4 linked regions of the Mus musculus genome follow. The protein of the gene in region 3 purifies or fractionates together with the protein of the main gene of each other region. This does not show direct contact. Links are inferred from orthologs where the notes say so. Each region holds a gene or a part of one and is shown on either strand. Other genes may lie near its edges. The genes, in order: Ube2o, Ahcyl1, Fgf11 and Sirt1.

Region 1 (4,405 bases), about 47 Mb from region 3:
AAACAAAACCCCTGCTTGATACTATGAGCTTCAGTGTTGGTTCAACGGCCCTGCCCAAGCCTCAAGCTACTCAGGTAGGCCCTCTCCCCTTTGGCTCACAGTCTTGCCTAGCCTCCAACAGTCCTCATGCCTATGCAGCGGGGAACAGACAGGGGTGACTCCCTCTGGCAGAGATATGTACCGAGTCGCTGACGTGAGGGCAGACATCGTAGAGTTTGGCACCATCTTCTGTGTTCATGGAGCACCTGAAACAGTAGACAGAGGCTTGGTCTCCACCAGGACTCAGTCAGCACTAAACACCAAGACTAAAACACGCCCTAAAACACACCATCTTGCACCTACAGCTCAGCCTCTGCCACAGGACAGGAGCCCCAGCTCAACCTAAGTGCCTGCCATTATTAAGACATGCACAACAGAGCACTGGCCCTCAGAGACTCCTGAGCTGTAGCAGCAGAGACAAGAGTTACCACTGAGCTCCGGATGCTGAATGCCAGCATCACCGTTACTGTCCTGGACCACACCCGACCTCACAGACCTGGAACAACTCTCCTGGACTGTAGAGCAGGCAGCTGTCCCTAAGATGACACCTACCTGGCACCATTAGACAACTTGAGGATGATCTGGTTCTTCAAGTCATAGACCTTCCCCAGCCAGCAGTCATAGGCGATATAGTCTCCATACATGAAGGGCTGCAGATCAAGGACACAGAGCAGTGAGCGAGGGCAGACACCACGGAGCCTGGGATCTTCTACACCCCATTGGGATGTAAAAGGCTCTAGACAACGTATCTGCACTGCATCCCAAGTCCCTTTCCACCGAGCAGGCAGGAGCAGCCTATGGCTGCCTCGTGGGTGGGAGTGTCCACAGCGGCAGAGGACAGCACTAGGAGGCTGGCATGGGTGGGGGTGGGCTTTGTGGATAGGTAAAGACCATGAATCAAGGGGGACCCACTGGGAACACTGAGCGCAGTGTTGTCACTGTTGAAAACTGTTGGGCAGACAGAAGCCATCCCTGAGGAGCTTCCTCACGACAACTGAAGCAGAATGGGATGTGAGTACTGAGTGATGAGAGGGCTGAGCTGATGAATGAAACACAACTCTCGAGTGCACCTCATAGAAAACGAATGAGCAAAGAAACAGGGCAGTAGGCACAGCTCTGTAGGCACACACAAGAATGCCAACCAATAGAAATGCGGGGGCAGTGACTTGAGGAAGACACCACCTGCGACTGTCAGAGCCGTGGCCTGTTTACATGGCAATGCTCCCAAGACTAAGGCTTGCAGGTCTGACACGGACATTTGTGATGTGTGAGATATAATAGCTTACTGGGGGTAAAGGATGAGTTTACAGTGGTGAGGGCTGTGAAGACCAACATGACCTGTGCGCAGAGTGAGCATCTCCAGCGGCAGAGTAGCACTGGACATAAAAAAAGCTAGCTGCACAGCCAGAGGCATCCTGGGAGTGAGTCTGTCCACGAGACATCATCATGCATGAGCTTTTGCAGCACCATTGTCCGGGGTGTACAACAACATCCCAGATGGGAAAGAAAAAGAACTGACAGGCAAACGCCAGGCGGATGGGCTCAGGGCCAGAGGGAAAGGACAGCGAGCAGTCTGAGGCTCAGGCAGTATGGTCACCACTTACTCCCCCGTCTACGGGCTATATCCAAATTTTGGAAAGCACAAAATGTAGTAGTGAGCAGGGGTGCTGGGGGCTGTATGTGTAGCTTGCTTTCAGATAGTTCAGGAGATGAAGATGACCGGGGTCAATGGGAGGTCAGCAGCTGCACACACTGGAGAGTGGGCACACAGACTTAGCACTTCTGGGTAAGTTTAAAGTCCTTTACAAAAGAAATGATTAAAAAGAACTCTGTTTTGCTGTTACTTTTATGTGTATGAGTACTTTGCTGCATGTGTGTTTGTGAGCCATGTGTGTGCCTGGTGTTCTCAGAAGTCAAGGACAGAGCTGGGTCCTCGGGATCTGTGTCTTTAACAAGAGTAGTAAGTAGTCTTGCCCGTGGGACCATCTCTCCAGCCTTCTTGGATGGAGATAGAGAGACGGCTCAGCAGTTAAAGAGTACTGCCTGCTCTTGCTGAGGACCTGGGTCCATTCCCAGCACCCTCACAGAGGCTCACAACTCCATTATTCCAGTTCCAAGGTATCCAACTCCCACTTCTGGTATCAGACATGCAAGTAGTACACACAGACTATATTCCTGCAAAATACCCACATACAACAAACAAACAAACAAACAAACATCCGTGTCTGTGGTCAATGAGAAACAAGTAATGTGACCACATTTGTCATGATCTATCCTGATGCCCGCGGCAGAGCACACTCTGACCTCCTGTCTAGTAGCGCACAGGCAAGGGCAACACGGAGCCTGCCTGGAGCAGGCTGGCCACAGTGACCAAGCACCGAGCATCGGCCCCATTAAGACTACACTTGCCAGGAGCAGCAGCAGCAGCACAGAGGCCACACAGCCACTCACCCAGATGTGCTGGAGGTCCTTGCTGTTGACAGGGTAGATGATGCAGTTGGTGCCGATGAGCTTGACGGCACAGTCAATGTTGACATCTATCACCGTGCCACACTGGCTGTCCTAGAGGAGGAAGGAAAACATCCCACAGGTTGCCATAGGAGACCCCACCAAGACACACCCTATATTCTCCACTCCTCCAACCAAGATCTCTTCCAAATTAGAGTGGGAGCACACAGGCTCAAGTGCAGGGCGGGATGGGGATGAGGGACTCACAGTTGAGCGCATGTGTCGAACCACATCCCGGGGCACCACAGAGCGGTCCTCCAGTTTCAGCTGTGAAAAAAACATGAATGAGAGGCCTGGAAACAGACATCTGAGGTGGAACGCATTCCACCCAGGTACATCCCACCAAAGGCAGACAAAGGATGGTTTTATCTGTAGCCCCCCACCCCCACACCCACCAGCATACACACTGGAGATAGTCTTGTGCACTGGGAAGCATAGTCACACCACACAAGGTTAGCTCATCCTACAAAAACCAACATTATGATGAGTCAAATCCTTCTCTGAGGGTCTACCCTCTGACCTTGGCTCATGGGTGCTCAGGAGTGGTTGGAGGACTGGCATGGCACTGAAGCCAGCTGTCACTAGACACAACCCTTCTAATCTGGCTATTCTGCCTGCCCAGCTGCATCCTGCTCCTTATCTGTGGCAGTGCAGACCCTGTCCTGACCCAACTGAACCCCCAGAACTGCCACCTCCTGCTGCTGGGCGGCCTCTGTGGCCCAGAAAGAGCTGCTTCTCTGCTAGGCTGTTTTGTCTTCTCTGTTCTTGTATCTCCAAATCGGGATTGTTCTGTCATTCTTGGACAACCTGTAAGTGGTTGCTACATCTCTCTCCCCTGCTCAGAGACGGACAGGCACACACCAGGAAGGGCTCTCCCCGACTCTCCCCGACTCTCAGTAACCTCAGCCGGCCTCTCTGCTGCGAAAGGTGACTGGCAGAGAGAGGAGCAGGACAGAAGTGCTGAAAAGCAAGTACAAGGTCACTGAAGCTTTGCTAAGGACAACCCACACAAGCTCTAGGTAGGCTGTACACCGCTAAGCAGGAAACATAAACTGCCACAGGGACCCAGGACCTGTTCCACAGACAACACTGTGACTGGTGTCAGCCTGCTGCTTCCAAGTACACATGGTATCTCAGCAGCCAACTCTGGGACCCATGACAGGATTGAAGCCACAAAGAAAGCATTGGCGCCTGCGTGCACGCACACAGGCACATACAGCCACTACATCCATACTTGCTTGACTCCCTGTCCACAGGGACACAGGCTGAGGTCCAGAAAGGCTAGCTTCAAGGCACTGAAGGGAAGGTGGAGAGGCCAGCTCCCTTTTCTAGTAATGTGAAGACACTTTGTGCCTGCCCCACCCTCAGCTTCACCTCAACTGCCTTCTTAGCTTAGACGTCAAACCACCACCAATTAGGGGGCCTAAGTCATCGCAGAAAGCAGAGAGTAGCGCGGCCTTGACGAGAGCCTTGAGCTGCGTCTGCACACAACCCGATGGCCTCTGTCAGGTCCAGGTACTGCCAGGGGAGGGGGGAGGATCCACATGGACAGCCTGATCAGAACAAGCTCATACAGGACGTGTGAAATGGAGGTAAAAAGAAGATTGCCAAAAACTCCAAGATCAAGTTCTTTATGAACGTTTATAACTGTAACCACCTCATGCCTACAGGTGCTCTGGATAGCCTCTCAGAGGGAACGGTTGTCAAGAAGGATGTCTTTAGAGACTCAGCTCTGAAACGCAAGGCTGGGGAGGCCAAGGTCAGTTGGAAGAACAATACAAGACAGGAGAGAACAAATGGTTTTTCCACAAGCTATGCTTTTAGGTATATTTTTGTTTCTTATCATTAAAAATTAAAA
Region 2 (4,405 bases), on a different chromosome or scaffold from region 3:
TGGATTATTTGCAATTTGGAGTATACTAAAATATATGTGCTATAAGTTTTAATTAAAAATAAAATAATTTTTATTGTCAAAATGTTCAAAAGCACCGGGCGGTGGTGGCGCACGCCTTTAATCCCAGCACTTGGGAGGCAGAGGCAGGTGGATTTCTGAGTTCAAGGCCAGCCTGGTCTACAAAGTGAGTTCCAGGACAGCCAGGGCTATACAGAGAAACCCTGTCTCCAAAAAAAAAAAAAGTTCAAAAGCACATCACCTTACACCTTCTAAGATCTTGAGAAAGTTACAGAATAGACTTTGTTTAATTCATTTCTAATAGCTGTTTATTGTAGAAGATTTAAGAAATTTAAAAAAAAAACAAAGATTTGACAAGCTTCTCTTTATATATTGGTAAACCAAATTTTAGTATATACACATTTTTTTATAACCGAAACATTCCATTTTGAGAAGTAATTTATCGTGTCACTGAAAAGTGACCACATCATTCATTCATATGGCCACATGATTTTACTTCTTCATTTTCCTAAAATCGCATGTTTAAATTATTCTGAGACATCTGTTGGTATCTAGAGTGTCTAGTATTGGTGTTCCTAAGAGTGCTCTAGGAACTTTGTTTTTACATACTTCATTTTGCCTCCTTAAGATGCAGTATAAAGTATAAAATTGACCTAAAAGACAGCAATATTTTATGACTCCAAGATATTTTTTAATATAGAAATCTCTTAATTTCTTAACTGAAGTAATTTCTGAACTAAAAAGTACTATTTTGACTTTTATTCTTTAAGTTTTCCCTCTTCGGAATTGTTTCTTTTCCCTTTCATTCTTCATATGGATCTCAGAAGTTGGTACATCAGAAGCAACATTAATTGATGTATTTCTGTCTCCGTAGGAGTCGCGGTGTTTGCTTGGAAGGGCGAGTCAGAAGATGATTTCTGGTGGTGCATTGACCGCTGTGTCAACATGGATGGGTGGCAGGCTAACATGGTAATCATTCATGTCTACTCCATAGTTTTACTATGGATTTATTTCCTTTTCTCCCTTAAATCATGGTTCCCTAAATATATTTCTTTGTGTTTGGTCTTATTACTGGCTATATTGCTAAAGTGTTCATAACACAATACCTACTCGGTATGGATCTAAGATGCACAAGGCCCTGGATTCAATATCCAGCACCAATAAGAAAGAAAGGAAGGATGGAAAGAAAAGAAAAGAAATGAAAGCAAGGTCTGAGAAGTGAATAGGAAGGTGGGGGAAGGGTAAGCTGAGATGGACACATGACTCAAACACAGCAGAATAAACAGAAGGAAATGATGTGGTCCCTCTTTGGAGTAGGAGTCTTATTTCTTTTCTTCCCACTCCACTTCTCCTTTTGCATTCAAAGGAGCCATATATTTCAACTAGACTGAAAATGAGCCCACGACTTGTAATACTTATTTACTGTAGCTGGGCATGACCAAATGCCTATAAGCCCAGCATTTGAGAGGCTGAAACAGGAGGAGTCCTTGAGCTCAGGAATTTTAGACTAGCCTGAGCAACATAGTAAGTTCCAGTCTCAAAAAAGAGCTTTCCACTGTAGCCTAGAACTCATTTAGGATTTCTTTTAACCATTTTACACCAACAGATTTAACTATATTTTTACTGTCTAAGCCTATTCTGCAGAGCGTTAAGAAGTGCTCTTTCAAAATATCCAGGGCTCTCTCACTAGTGTAGAAAATGGGCTCAAAGTTCCCCCTAGCTCTAGCAGCCTGAATGCCCATAGAAGTCTTCTGGCTGTTCTGTAGATCCTGGATGATGGGGGAGACTTAACCCACTGGGTTTATAAGAAGTATCCAAACGTGTTTAAGAAGATCCGAGGCATTGTGGAAGAGAGCGTGACTGGTGTTCACAGGTAACAGATTCTGGAGTAGCTGCCCCTTGTGTCCTTGCCTCATCAAATTCTTCTGGTCTCTCCTAGACTTTAGGGCTGTGTTTCAGACTTAAAATAACCAAGTGGGAGTGTCTTCATTAGATAAAACCGAGTTTTTACTTTTGCAAAATCAAAGTGACCATAAAAGGAATTTTGAAGGAATTTTTTTAAAATTCTAATTGACATGTTTTTAATCTCTCCCATTTGCTCCACTGAGTAACTAATTAACAGTATTTGGGGGTAAGGGTGTAGAGAGGAATGTGTCTTGGAAAACTTGTGCTCAATGTTGTATTATAATTTTTATATTTTAAATATGGAGGGAAAAGTCTATTGAAAAACTACAGGTGATGCAACAGAAAGTAAAACTGGAGATAGACTCCTGGCTTGGAGGAAGTAACTAAATGGTATCTAGGACTATTGCTCTGCGGGCACAGTGTGCGTGGTTGCTCTCACAGACACAGTAAACCACATCAGAACCGTTGCTGTCTTTGTTTACCTGAAGTAAACATGAGTATTTAAAGTCAGAACAGTGCTGCCCTAAGGTTACAATGCTCCCTTTGCAGAAGAGCAGTAAATTGCTTCAACTGAAAAGTTTTTTATTTTTCGTTTAAAATTAAAGGATAAAATAGAAGGAAATGAGTTGAGGACAAGAGACTAGTCACGTTTCCAAAGAACTTCTGGGCATAAATAAGACTAAGGAGGGCAGCATGGAGCTTGAAGAGACAGAAGCAGACTTGCTATTTATTGTTTATAACCTAACTAGTTGTGTGTTTGTTTTGTGGCTTCTTCTCCCTTTTAGGCTGTATCAGCTCTCCAAAGCTGGGAAGCTCTGTGTTCCAGCCATGAATGTCAATGATTCTGTTACCAAACAGAAGTTTGATAACCTGTACTGCTGCCGAGAATCCATTTTGGATGGGTATGTTGAAATGTATACCTTCAGATTTGCAGGGACTAGTAGTGGGATTTGTTTGACGTATCAGTTTGGTACCTATAGCTTGCCCTTGTAGTCTCCCTCCTTTACATGTTATTAAAGGAGCCCACTTCACAGTGATCTCAGCCAGCTTTCCATTGAATTTCTCCTGGGCACTGCCCTACACTTGAATTTGGTACAAAGGGACTGAGTTGTAAATGATGTTTGAGATGAGCCCTTGTCTGTTTCCACAGCCTGAAGAGGACCACGGATGTGATGTTTGGTGGGAAACAGGTGGTGGTGTGTGGCTATGGTGAGGTAAATAGTTGGGCCCATATCTCTGTCTTATTAGAAGGCTTTAGAGAAACATGGGATGGAGACAGTCTAGGAACACTGATGAATGTTTTTCCATGCTGTGCTTGAAAACAGTGGGAAAGTCCTTTTCATATTTGTGAGTTAAAGGCAGAGTGTACTGAATTTTCATATTTTAGCAGTTTATCTTATTGATTGATGTCAGCATTACTGCCTCCCACTTAAAGCCTTTTATGAAATAAAAGTTAAGTGAATAAGTAACATTTTATCCCCATCTTATGGCTTGCATCGTAGAAACTGAAGTGACATTATAGTCGAGTATCTTTAAACTGGACTAGGTCCTAGGGAGTGTCATTGTCTTCAGCAGTGGTCCACTGAAGTCCTTGGGCTGCTAGGTATTCAGTAGACACATTGGAAGTGAGTTTTGCCAGGTTTTTATGGAATAAATCATTTGTTCTTGTTTGAACTTGTTTTCATAATGGTAACAATTACGCAGAGCCTCCCTCTCCCCACCTCTTGTTGTGACTTGTCTGCTAAATTATCTCTAATTGAAGTTTACAGCCTAGTTTGGGTTTCTTTCTGCTCCAGCTGGGACTGGAGTGTTCACTGGATGATGCTGATTTAAAGAGGCTAATTCCTATCTCCTCAAAAGCTTGTCTCCCCCAATGATCGTATCTTCTTAGATCTGGCAACTTGGGCTTTCCTATATTCTGCAGGTAGGAAAGGGCTGCTGTGCTGCTCTCAAGGCCCTTGGAGCAATTGTCTACATAACAGAAATTGACCCCATCTGTGCTCTGCAGGCCTGGTAAGGACAGAGTGCTGGTACCACTCTTAGGTTTGAGGTCCACGCCTTGTATTTCTGAGAGCCGGTGGCTGATGACTCACTTTACTGTTTGTGGAGAAGTCTCCCGGGGAAGAGTAAGGTGCTTTGTTCCCTTCACTCGAAGCCATTTATGGGGCCTCTTGGCATTTTCTCTTGCTGTGTAGACTCGTGGGGCCCGGCAGAAGCCAGTCTGTAGTTCACTATAGCTCATCATTTACTATTTCTGGGATGGAGCATTAGCTTTTACTTCAGAAGGGGATTTTGTTGTCTAGCTTTGTCAACGTGAGCCACACAGCACACTTTGCTTTGCTTATAGTGTTGCTTTCTTTTCTTCCAGCATGGATGGGTTCAGGGTGGTGAAGCTGAATGAAGTCATCCGGCAGGTGGACGTTGTAATTACTTGCACAGGTGAGTATCAGTGCTTTGCTGCATGGAGAACAGTGCTAACTCT
Region 3 (5,043 bases):
TACACACACACACAGAGAGAGAGAGAGAGAGAGAGAGAGAGAGAGAGAGAGAGAGAGATCACTGGTAGAATGGAGCCCTTGGGAAGAAACAGCCAAGATATAATCCATACATCATTTGGAAAGGAGGACGGCAGCTACTCAGTCCATGCAGCAGCCAGAACACAGAGAGAATAGGAAGAACCCAGTGAACCACCCAGGGGCAGGATCTAAATTTACAGGGGCACTAGAAATAAGATTTCTTCTCTTCGTTCCCAACCTCGTATTTATCCGGAGGAAAGATGAGGTTTGAAGGCTGAGAGGTGCCACTGTAATAGCTGGAAGAGTCAGGCATCCAAAGAGCCTGGGCCCCTTGAGGGAGAGTGAACTCTAGAGGGGGAGTTCTGGACTAGGCCCTAGACAAGCCAAAACAGGAAGGACAGAGTCCTGGGTGTAAGCCATGTGTGTAGCAAAGGATGATTATGTGCTGAGGGTGTCCCCAGTCGTCCAGGCCACTCAGCCTCATTGTCCTCTTACCGAGCTGTACAATAGCCCCTCAGCGTTCATGGCCATGTAGTGACCCAGCTTGGCACTCTGGATGGTGACCACACGGAGTCCCACAGGAATCAGATTGAAGTGGGCTGGGGTGGGGGTGGGGGAGTGGAAAGCAAGCAGTCAATACCCAAGTACCTCATTTCCATCTGAGCCCCGCCCCCCAACTCCAGCCTCACTGCCTCCCTTGGGGCCCAAGAAGACAAATGGAAGGCAGCCAAGCCTGAAGAGGTGATAGGCTTGTCATCTCCTGTCCCCATCTCCCCACTGCCCACCCTGCAGCTGGTGTCCCTTCTCACTGAAGGAGCTGGTGTCCTCTGGGGTGCCCTGGATACTCCCATCGGGATTCGCCTGGAGGTAGAAACCCTGGCGGCAGAACAGTTTGGTGACGATGCCTTTGAGCTGAGGCTCTGGAGAGAGAGACATTTATCTTTGAAAATGACATCTCTGTTCCCAGAAACATTCCTACACTTGGCGGGATCACAGGAAAGAAGAAAGGGGAAATGAAGAGAAGAGGGTTCCAGGGCCCCAGCTCCTTTACCCTTCAAGCAAGCTTCCCTCCACCTCGCTTTGATTCCTGAGGAAGCTGGGGTGTGGGTCCCTTCCGCTTTCTCTAATCATGAGCGTCAGCTTAATTTATTGAAATTTATTTAAATGGTTTAATTCCTTTTCCCTACCAGAGTTGGGGGCGGGGAGGAGGTAGAAGAGAGAGAGAGAGAGAGAGAGAGAGAGAGAGAGAGAGAGAGAGAGAGAGAGAGAGAGAAACGGACAGTGCCAGAAACGCAGGGCAATGTGTTTGCAAATGTCGGGGTGAGCAGCAAGGTGACCACAGGGAAGGGGCTCCCCCTCAGAAGTAGGGGTGGGACTGGGCTTGACTGACGCTGACTCAGCACCTGCTGCTGCAGCTGCCGCTCGCTTGGCGCGGGCCTTGCTCTGGCACAGCGCCGGCCTGTCTGACACTGACCCATCTGTCTGTCTGTCTGTCAGTCAGTCGGCTGGCTCACGAGGGTCCAGTTTTCCCTGAGACTGAGCTTCTACCCTTCAGCCAGGTAACTGGCCTGGGATGGGGGACATTTAAACCACATCAAGGAAAAGGAAGAGGGGACAGAGATGGAGAGGCAGGCTGCATCACGTGGGGGCTGGGTCCCACTCAGAGGGTGGGCTGCGGACTGTACCACTACCTACCGTTGGTGGTGGGGGAGGAGGGCACAAGGGGCTACCCCTAAGGGAACCGGCAGCGGCCTGGAGCGAGGCCAGAGGGACTCCCTAACTGTCGTACCTGGACGGGAATCACATACCAGCCCTTACATCTCTCCTCTCCTGGTGGGGCTTGCTCTCTGCCGATTTCCCTGTTCCCCCTTGTAAGTGGTACGACCCCCCGCTTAAGTCCCTGTGCAGGTCTTCAGCTTGAACTATGTGTGAGTTCCTACTGGCTGAGGGTCCCCGGAGCCTGTGGGACTGGATTTCCGAGTCACACAGGAGTAATGGGAGGGGGTGCCCAGCACCCTTCTCGAAGCGCAGGTCACAGAAGGAGGGCGTACGGAGGGGGCTGACTGACGAGGTAGCCTGCAAGGACACCCGGGGGAGAGCTGGAGAGATTGGCTCCTGGCCAGGCGAGCTCGACCAGGAAGAACAGAGCCAAAGCGTGGAGGGGCGGGAGAGCCGGAGCGGGGGCGGGGCAGCCAGGGCTGCAGAAACCCTCGGGGTGACCCAAGCGTCCAGAACCCCTCAAGCCCCGCCACTTCGGATGGAAAGAATCGCGAGAACCCGCACGTAGGCGAAGAACCGTGGGGGGTGGGGAGTCCTGTGCTGAAGGGGGGCTGACAGGAGCAGAGAAGCTTGGGGCGCCAGACTTCGCCCCTCAAACCTTCCCCCTGCCCTCGAAAGCAAGGAGACTCGGCATTACAGGCAAAGAGGAAGAACCTGAAGGATAGTCCCGTAAATTCTGTCGTTCTGGCCCACCTCTTCCACTTCTGGGACACCCCCCTCCTCATCGGGCTTCAATCGTCAGGGTCCCTGGCCTCAGGCAGGACTTCTGTGGGAGACCCCGCCCTAGCCACACTCACCTGGGCCGCGGTCCTGTCGCGTGGGACGCCCCCCGCACAGTCGCACCTTGGACAGCAGGATGAGGAGCTGTTTCTGGCAAAGTGACTTGGTACCGCGGGGACACACGCGCCGCTGCGCCGACACGGGCCGGCTGCCCCCGGGCTCGCGGACCTCCCGCTTCTGTCGGATCAGGCTACTGGCCAACGCCGCCATCGCGCCCCGGGAGGAGACACCCCCAAACCAGCAGGCTCCCGGAGCGCCCTGGGCTCCCCAAGAGGAGCCCTCTCACCAGGGCATGCTCAGGACCCAACCCACCGCCCCACCCACAGGATCTGAAGAGAAACCCCAGACCCCAGTACGTTCCCCAACACCACCGGCTCCCACCCTTGGGCCCTGACTAGCTCCAGCGGCTCCAGCAGCCTATGCACTCCTCAGCTGACCTCACCCATGAATTCTGTCCCCTAATGAAAGCTTTCCCCTTCCCTCCTCTCTGGCCTCTGTACCAGATAGAAGATACCTCCTCTATCCCACAGTCAAGACCCTCCTATATTTCTAAGATGTGTTCTCAATACCCCGAGGCTTCTTTCTACCCTATTTTGGGGCCGCTCCTGCCCAGCCTACTCTTACACAGGGTGTGGGTCCTAAGCTTTGTGGACATTAGCTCACCCTAGGCTGCTGTCAATGTCAAGAGGAGCCCAGCTCTGTTTTCTTTTTTCCTTTTCTATACTCTAAATGGAGTGGGTCTCCCACTTTCTTCAAATCCCCCCTCTGCCAGCAAATATGACTCAAAATTCAGGCTGTTTAGGTTCAGTGAAAAGGGGTTCCCAGGCCCCCTGGCTGGATAATGCTTTTTCTCATTGTCACCCCCATTTCTAGTACCACAGAGTCCCAGCTGCTAACACCATTCCCTCACCTTGCTACCCTCCACTCCTTTTGAAGTCACCTCCAAATCAACCCTTCTTAGTGCAGACACCAGGTGGTTGTCTGCAGGACCCTCTGTCGCCCCGAAAAAAGGAGCATCCGCCGTTTCTGTCTGTTTTCTAGTTGCCCCTTAAATTTCCCGAGGAACAACTGGCACTGCTTAGATCCCACACCCTCCAATCTAACAAGGCCCCCAAGAGAGGAGTGCACCCACGTTGTCAACACTCCTCAAACGTGAACAGGCCCTTAATAAGTCACAGCGCATCAGAGCTTCCTGCGCCAGGGCTTTCTCGTCCTCCCTGGGACTGCTATAACACCCCTTCCTTTCCCCGACGCCCCTCAACCTGTCCTGTCCTGTTGATCCGGGCGACGGGTGCCGCGAGCTCCAGCTCCAGGCTCCTCCCTCCCTGTCACCCGCAAGCGGAGGTTTCCCCCCAACGTCGGCCTAAGCGTCCCGGACCCCCAGGAAGGAGTAAGGATGTCTCTGCAGAGCGCCTCGGTTCGGCAAAGTCAGAGCACTGGGCCTGGAGGTTGGACCAGGCAGAGCGGCGGAGGCAGCGGCAGCGGCTGTGGGAAGCTGAGGCGGCGGCGGCGACAGAGGCTCCCCCTCCTCTGCGAGCCGGCCTGGGGGCGGGGCAGGGGGCGGAGACGCTGGGAGAAGCTGGGCGGGCGGAACCCTGGGGTTCCTTGGAAGCTCTAAGTGGGAACTGTCACAGAGGCAGGCGGAGTAGAGGCAAGGCCTGCAAATCTCGGGGTTCAGAGGAGAGGAGACACGGAGCCTGATATGGCGGGGCTGGGGGCAGGGGGTCGATGGAATAGCCGACAGAGAGAAAATGAAAAGGGATTCTACTGCCTGGGATGGAAGTGAGGACAGAAATGGACGAGGAGAGTTGGGGGGAAAGTGGAGAAACCGGTAGCTGTGCCATCCAGTCTGGGCTGTGATCCGGCCTTAATATCTCTGGTTTGGTATGAGCCAATTGATCAGAACTAGGTTTCCAAAAACCAGTTCCTTCCCGCATTTTGTCAGTAAATACATTCCTACTATCCCTGTCAGACTCTGAAAGAATAGGGGAGAGAGGTTCCGGGAGGCAGTACCGGGACAGAAGGGGCGCCAGCCAGATTTAGAGAACTTGGGCCTCAGGCAGGGTAGAATACTGGGGAAACCTTTTAGAAAAGGGACTTTGGACCCAAGCATACACTGTCTGTATGGAGGGAGCAGCAGTCCCCTGCATGACCCTCTCACCAAAGGAAACACTTTCCATTCCCTTAGGAGTAAAATCTTTAATGGGTCCCGCCCCCTACGCCCGCTAAACCGCCCCCTTTGCGGGCAACCTTGGCTTCCTCTACAGCCTCACGCAAGGCCTGTGCAGGGTCCCCGCGGAGCTGGGCCAATGCCCCGCGCAGAGCAGCGGAGCCGTCTCCCACACGGAGCTTTCGGCCGCTCAAAAAATAATGAGGCAGCGCCCCGGCCTCTAGCACTCGGCTCAGCTCATCCAGTAGCCCAAGGCAACAAGCGCCGGCATTTTCCGGCCGCGCCAAGTAGAGCGC
Region 4 (4,405 bases), on a different chromosome or scaffold from region 3:
TAACCAAATAAAAGAATTTCAACTAGGGAAGCTATGAACTAATTCTTACTGAACTTGAACATGAACATGCAAAACTCACACACATATGATAATGCAGAGCATTACACATACTTCATGTTATACATAGTTCATATGGATAAAACTGAATTAAAGGTAGGGTCTTATTATGTAGCCCTAGATGGTCCACCTGCCTCTAACTCCAAAGGACTGAGATTAAAGACCTGCACTACCATACCTAACCCTTGGTTTTTTATATTAAGAAGTAATTTTATATAAATGAGTGCTTTGCCTGAAGGTAATATATATGTACCACATGCTTGCTTGGTGCCCAAGGATGACAGAAAGGGGAGTTGGAGAGAAGTGGAGTAATGGATGGTTATGAGCCACCATGTGAGTGGTAGGAACCAAACTCTGATCCTCTGTGCAAGAACAAGTGCTGCTCTCAACGGCCCCCATTTTAACACTTTTAATTATCTGCATGTCTGGGGTAGAGGATGTGGGTGAGTGCAGGTGCCATGAAGTGGAGGCCTGAAGGCCAGCAGCACGTGACTCAACTGGGCCTGGGGATAACTGCAGCTGTAGAGCCTCTGGATACAGATGCTGGAAACTGACCTCTGAAAGGTGCAAGCAGCAGCATGCACACATAACCACTGGCTCGCCTCTCCAGCCTCTGTTGTCTGAGATGACTATGAAGACTTTTTCCAGATTTCCTCCCTGCCCATGTTTGTTAGGTGGTACATAAAAAGGGGGAGTTCTCTGGTGAGGCTTTTAGGGTCTACATATAGAATATCATCCACAAACTAAGGTCACTTTAATTATCCCATCTATCTTTTTTTAATCAAACTAATTTTTTATGCCTTTAATCTGCCCTAAAACACAATTAAAATTTAGGAAAAACATACTTTAGCATGTGTATTCTTTGTGGGTAGCAAAATCTGGGGCCTTGTGCTAAAAATGGTCTACCACTGTGTGCTATTTCACTCTGTAACCCAGGAGAGCCTGGAACTCAAGTGTTTAGCAGAGACTGCCCTTAACTCTTGAGACCCTTCTGCCTCCACCTCCTAAACCCTGGATTAGGGACATAAAAGGGTTAGCTTGTTACGCATTATTGGAGAGCTAAGTTTACTGGAATTCTAGTCCTTATAATCCCCTAAAGAGGAACAAAATGATGCTTGCCCATACACCTACATAAGCAATAAATAACTAAATGTAATTTTAAGAACATGTGGAACTTTCAATTTTAGATATGTATCTGCACTTGACAATCCCGGTAAAATACTGGGGGGGAAAAAAAAAAAGACTAGTTATGACAATGCAGTTTCCCCAACTCACAACATAGAATTTATAAGAAAAGTTGTGGGAATACTAACATATAATCACTAACCAGCTATGCTTGTATAAGATGAAAGTAACTTTTACTTGCTGGCCTTCCTAAATCTGTGTCTACTTATAGTAGACACCATGATACACCAGGGTCCTGCATCCATTAAAACAATCTTTGACTGGTATTCTTTAAACAGTGTAGCAGCACAGCTTCCAATAGTACACCTTAGCTGCAAAGTCTGGCCATCCTCTAATCCCAGCACCAGGATACGGAGACAAGAACTAAAGCACCCTTACAGTTCTGAGACTGTACTGAAGGAAGACAGCCTTTCTAATCCACCTTAGGGCTTACAAGATGGGAGGTGGATTGGGAGATAAGTCTGTTGCCTAATCTGCTGACCTGAGTTCTAATCCAGGAACTCTCGTGTGATGTGGGGGAACCCAACCCCCTAAACTAAGGTAGTGCTGTCACATCCACCGGTGCACTTGGGAGTGCAACACCATTCACCACTCCACCCCTCCACAGATGAAACTTTTAAAGACGTCTCTAAAACATCTCTCTAAATCAGAAAAGCCTTGCATATGTATTTCCAAGTTCCCTAACAGTGAACATAACAGCCAGGCATAGCAGCTCCTGCTCTAATCCCAACAGATGGGAGTTAGACGCAGGAGGCTCAGGAAATTCAAAAGCCATGGCTAAGCAAAATTCAAGACCGGCCTGGCCTACATCAGACTGCCTCAAAACAAAAAACCTTAAGATTAAACTGGAAAAAAAAAACAAAAAAACAAAGAAACAAAACAAATAAAACCTTGCAAAGTTTCTAGTGACTAAAATCTTGAGACAATTTATATAAACTTTATATTCTACAGCAGAGCAGAGCTGCACAGCAGACATAGGAGCCAAGTGTTCAATTTCTTTAGTTCACATGAAAGTGAAATTTTCAAATGCCTAATAAAAAATTGCTACTGCTTTGTTTTTGAAGCTGAGTCTCATGATGTAGCCCTCCCTGGCAGGTCATGAAGTATCCTGTGCCCCTGAAATCCCGGAGCTGCAGGACTTGTATTATTATGCCTGGCTCCTGAACATAGTCCCAAACATAAAAATGTTTGCTTGTTAGTATTTAATAAGTACAATTAGTATATTTCACTTTTCTTTAGCAAAGTATTTAAAATCCTTAAGTAAGCATGCCCTCACTGTGTCATTACACACATTCAATAGCCACATGCAGTCACATGGTGGTGACTGACTTATCAACTAGAAAGACGTCCCTTGTAATGTTTCCCAAAACATGTAATCTCAACCTTGAGTTATTAAAAATCATTTTAGACATATGCATATATTAAGACCTGTCCATTATAAAACATACCACATAGTAGTCATAGAACCTTTATGATTCAGAAAAAAAAGAGTAAGTGAAAACAAGTCTTTCTTTTTTTTTTCAGATCTACAAACTTCCAAAGGAGAGGGCAAGACACACAGGCAAAAGACCAAAATTACATTATTTAAAATCAGTCCTAAACAACTTAAGTTCTAACTACCACACTGGTAGCCTCCAAATCACTGGGCAATGAATGTAAACTTAAAAAGCCTACACGTGAGAACTCTTTATCATAAAGACAAAAACGTGTGATACCTTTGCAAACTTGAAGAATGGTCTTGGGTCTTTTCTAAAATACTCAATATCAAACATGGCTTGAGGGTCTGGGAGGTCTGGGAAGTCCACCGCAAGGCGAGCATAGATACCGTCTCTTGATCTGAAGTCAGGAATCCCACAGGAGACAGAAACCTGAAACAGACAAGACCTAAGTCAACCCATTAACTGTCTACCTTCACAGTAAGTACCTTTACTACATACAATTTAGTGGGAAGAGATGAAAAATCAAAGTTTGAACAGAAACACCACAAGCTTTCTAATTTCAAATACAGGTAAAATACGTAAATAAGTATAATTAAATCTGCCACATACTGCTTTAATGGGCTAATCTTAACCCTTTGAGCATTTAAACAAATTAAAACAAATACAATTGGTTGGAATAAATCTTTTTTTTTTTTTTTTTTTTGGTTTTTCGAGACAGGGTTTCTCTTTATAGCCCTGCCTGTCCTAGAACTCACTTTCTCACTTTGTAGACCAGGCTGGCCTCGAACTCAGAAATCCGCCTGCCCCTGCCTCCCGAGTGCTGGGATTAAAGGTGTGCGCCACCACACCCAGCTCAATTTCATTTTTTAACCAAAAAGTAGGTACAACTTTTTACCAATCATTCCAAACTGACCTCACATAGGCAGCTTTACTACCTCAAGAATACTCAAGTTTTGAAACTTTATTCAATACTGTATTATAGACTGAGCACACTGGTTCATGCTTAAAGTCTCAGATACTCAGGGAGACTGAAGGGCTGTTTGGGCTCTGATTTCCAAGACTACCTGGGGACAATCACAGCAGCAAAATCATTCTCAAAAAAGGGTTTGGGATCTTTGTTATGTTGTCCAGGAGTTAGAACTACCTTACACATATCACAGCAAAGTTTGTTGGGTTTGTTTGGTTTTTTTTTTTTTCAGAAGCCATTAGGCTTTATTATTTTATATGAACATAGGGAAGCCTACATGTATATGTGTTCTACACAGGTGCCTGGTGTCCACGGAGGTCAGAATGCATCAATCATGCAGTTGTGAATTGCCATATGGGTACTGGGAACTGAATCTGGGCCCCTGGCCTTATAGTAAGACCTCTTAAATTCTAAGTCATCTCTCTAGCCCAAGAATGAATCATTTACTTACTTATTAATAGCTTAATTTTTGTCTTTTGTTTGACATGGTCTCACTACAAACACACAAACACAAACACAAACACACACACACACCTACCTGCCTCTAGAACTAGTGGCATGGGCCACCTCGATTCTCATTGAGATAGTGTCTTTAGTTAGGCTGGGTAGCCATTGGGCTCCAGGGATCTGCCTGTGTCTACATCCTAATGCTGAGGTTACAGTCACTAAGGCCCTGAAAGGCAAATGCTGGGATAACAGAAAATGCATCACCATAGCCAGCTAAGGATATGCATTTAATTATAAATTATAATGATAA

What was found.
Region 1: the proteins of Fgf11 (region 3) and Ube2o purify together in Homo sapiens (affinity purification with mass spectrometry; 3 studies listed by BioGRID and IntAct, with this or other methods). This does not show direct contact. The link is inferred for Mus musculus from reciprocal best matches to the Homo sapiens genes FGF11 and UBE2O.
Region 2: the proteins of Fgf11 (region 3) and Ahcyl1 purify together in Homo sapiens (affinity purification with mass spectrometry; 3 studies listed by BioGRID and IntAct, with this or other methods). This does not show direct contact. The link is inferred for Mus musculus from reciprocal best matches to the Homo sapiens genes FGF11 and AHCYL1.
Region 4: the proteins of Fgf11 (region 3) and Sirt1 purify together in Homo sapiens (affinity purification with mass spectrometry; 3 studies listed by BioGRID and IntAct, with this or other methods). This does not show direct contact. The link is inferred for Mus musculus from reciprocal best matches to the Homo sapiens genes FGF11 and SIRT1.

What each region holds. Positions count from the first base shown.
Region 1 is NC_000077.6:116,546,280-116,550,684, forward strand, and holds part of Ube2o ((E3-independent) E2 ubiquitin-conjugating enzyme UBE2O), read right to left. Parts: intron 2,815-4,405; coding exon 2,755-2,814; intron 2,602-2,754; coding exon 2,491-2,601; intron 690-2,490; coding exon 592-689; intron 246-591; coding exon 182-245; intron 1-181. UniProt on the Homo sapiens protein: E2/E3 hybrid ubiquitin-protein ligase that displays both E2 and E3 ligase activities and mediates monoubiquitination of target proteins. Negatively regulates TRAF6-mediated NF-kappa-B activation independently of its E2 activity.
Region 2 is NC_000069.6:107,668,624-107,673,028, reverse strand, and holds part of Ahcyl1 (S-adenosylhomocysteine hydrolase-like protein 1), read left to right. Parts: intron 1-892; coding exon 893-987; intron 988-1,784; coding exon 1,785-1,891; intron 1,892-2,708; coding exon 2,709-2,825; intron 2,826-3,073; coding exon 3,074-3,137; intron 3,138-3,847; coding exon 3,848-3,936; intron 3,937-4,291; coding exon 4,292-4,362; intron 4,363-4,405. UniProt on the Homo sapiens protein: Multifaceted cellular regulator which coordinates several essential cellular functions including regulation of epithelial HCO3(-) and fluid secretion, mRNA processing and DNA replication.
Region 3 is NC_000077.6:69,798,839-69,803,881, forward strand, and holds the start of Fgf11 (fibroblast growth factor 11), read right to left. Parts: upstream 3,443-5,043; 5' UTR 2,788-3,442; coding exon 2,595-2,787; intron 939-2,594; coding exon 828-938; coding exon of another isoform or gene 804-827; intron 618-803; coding exon 514-617; intron 1-513. Other genes in the region: Tmem102 (transmembrane protein 102), read right to left, coding at 4,777-5,043.
Region 4 is NC_000076.6:63,328,788-63,333,192, forward strand, and holds part of Sirt1 (NAD-dependent protein deacetylase sirtuin-1), read right to left. Parts: intron 3,111-4,405; coding exon 2,958-3,110; intron 1-2,957. UniProt on the Homo sapiens protein: NAD-dependent protein deacetylase that links transcriptional regulation directly to intracellular energetics and participates in the coordination of several separated cellular functions such as cell cycle, response to DNA damage, metabolism, apoptosis and autophagy.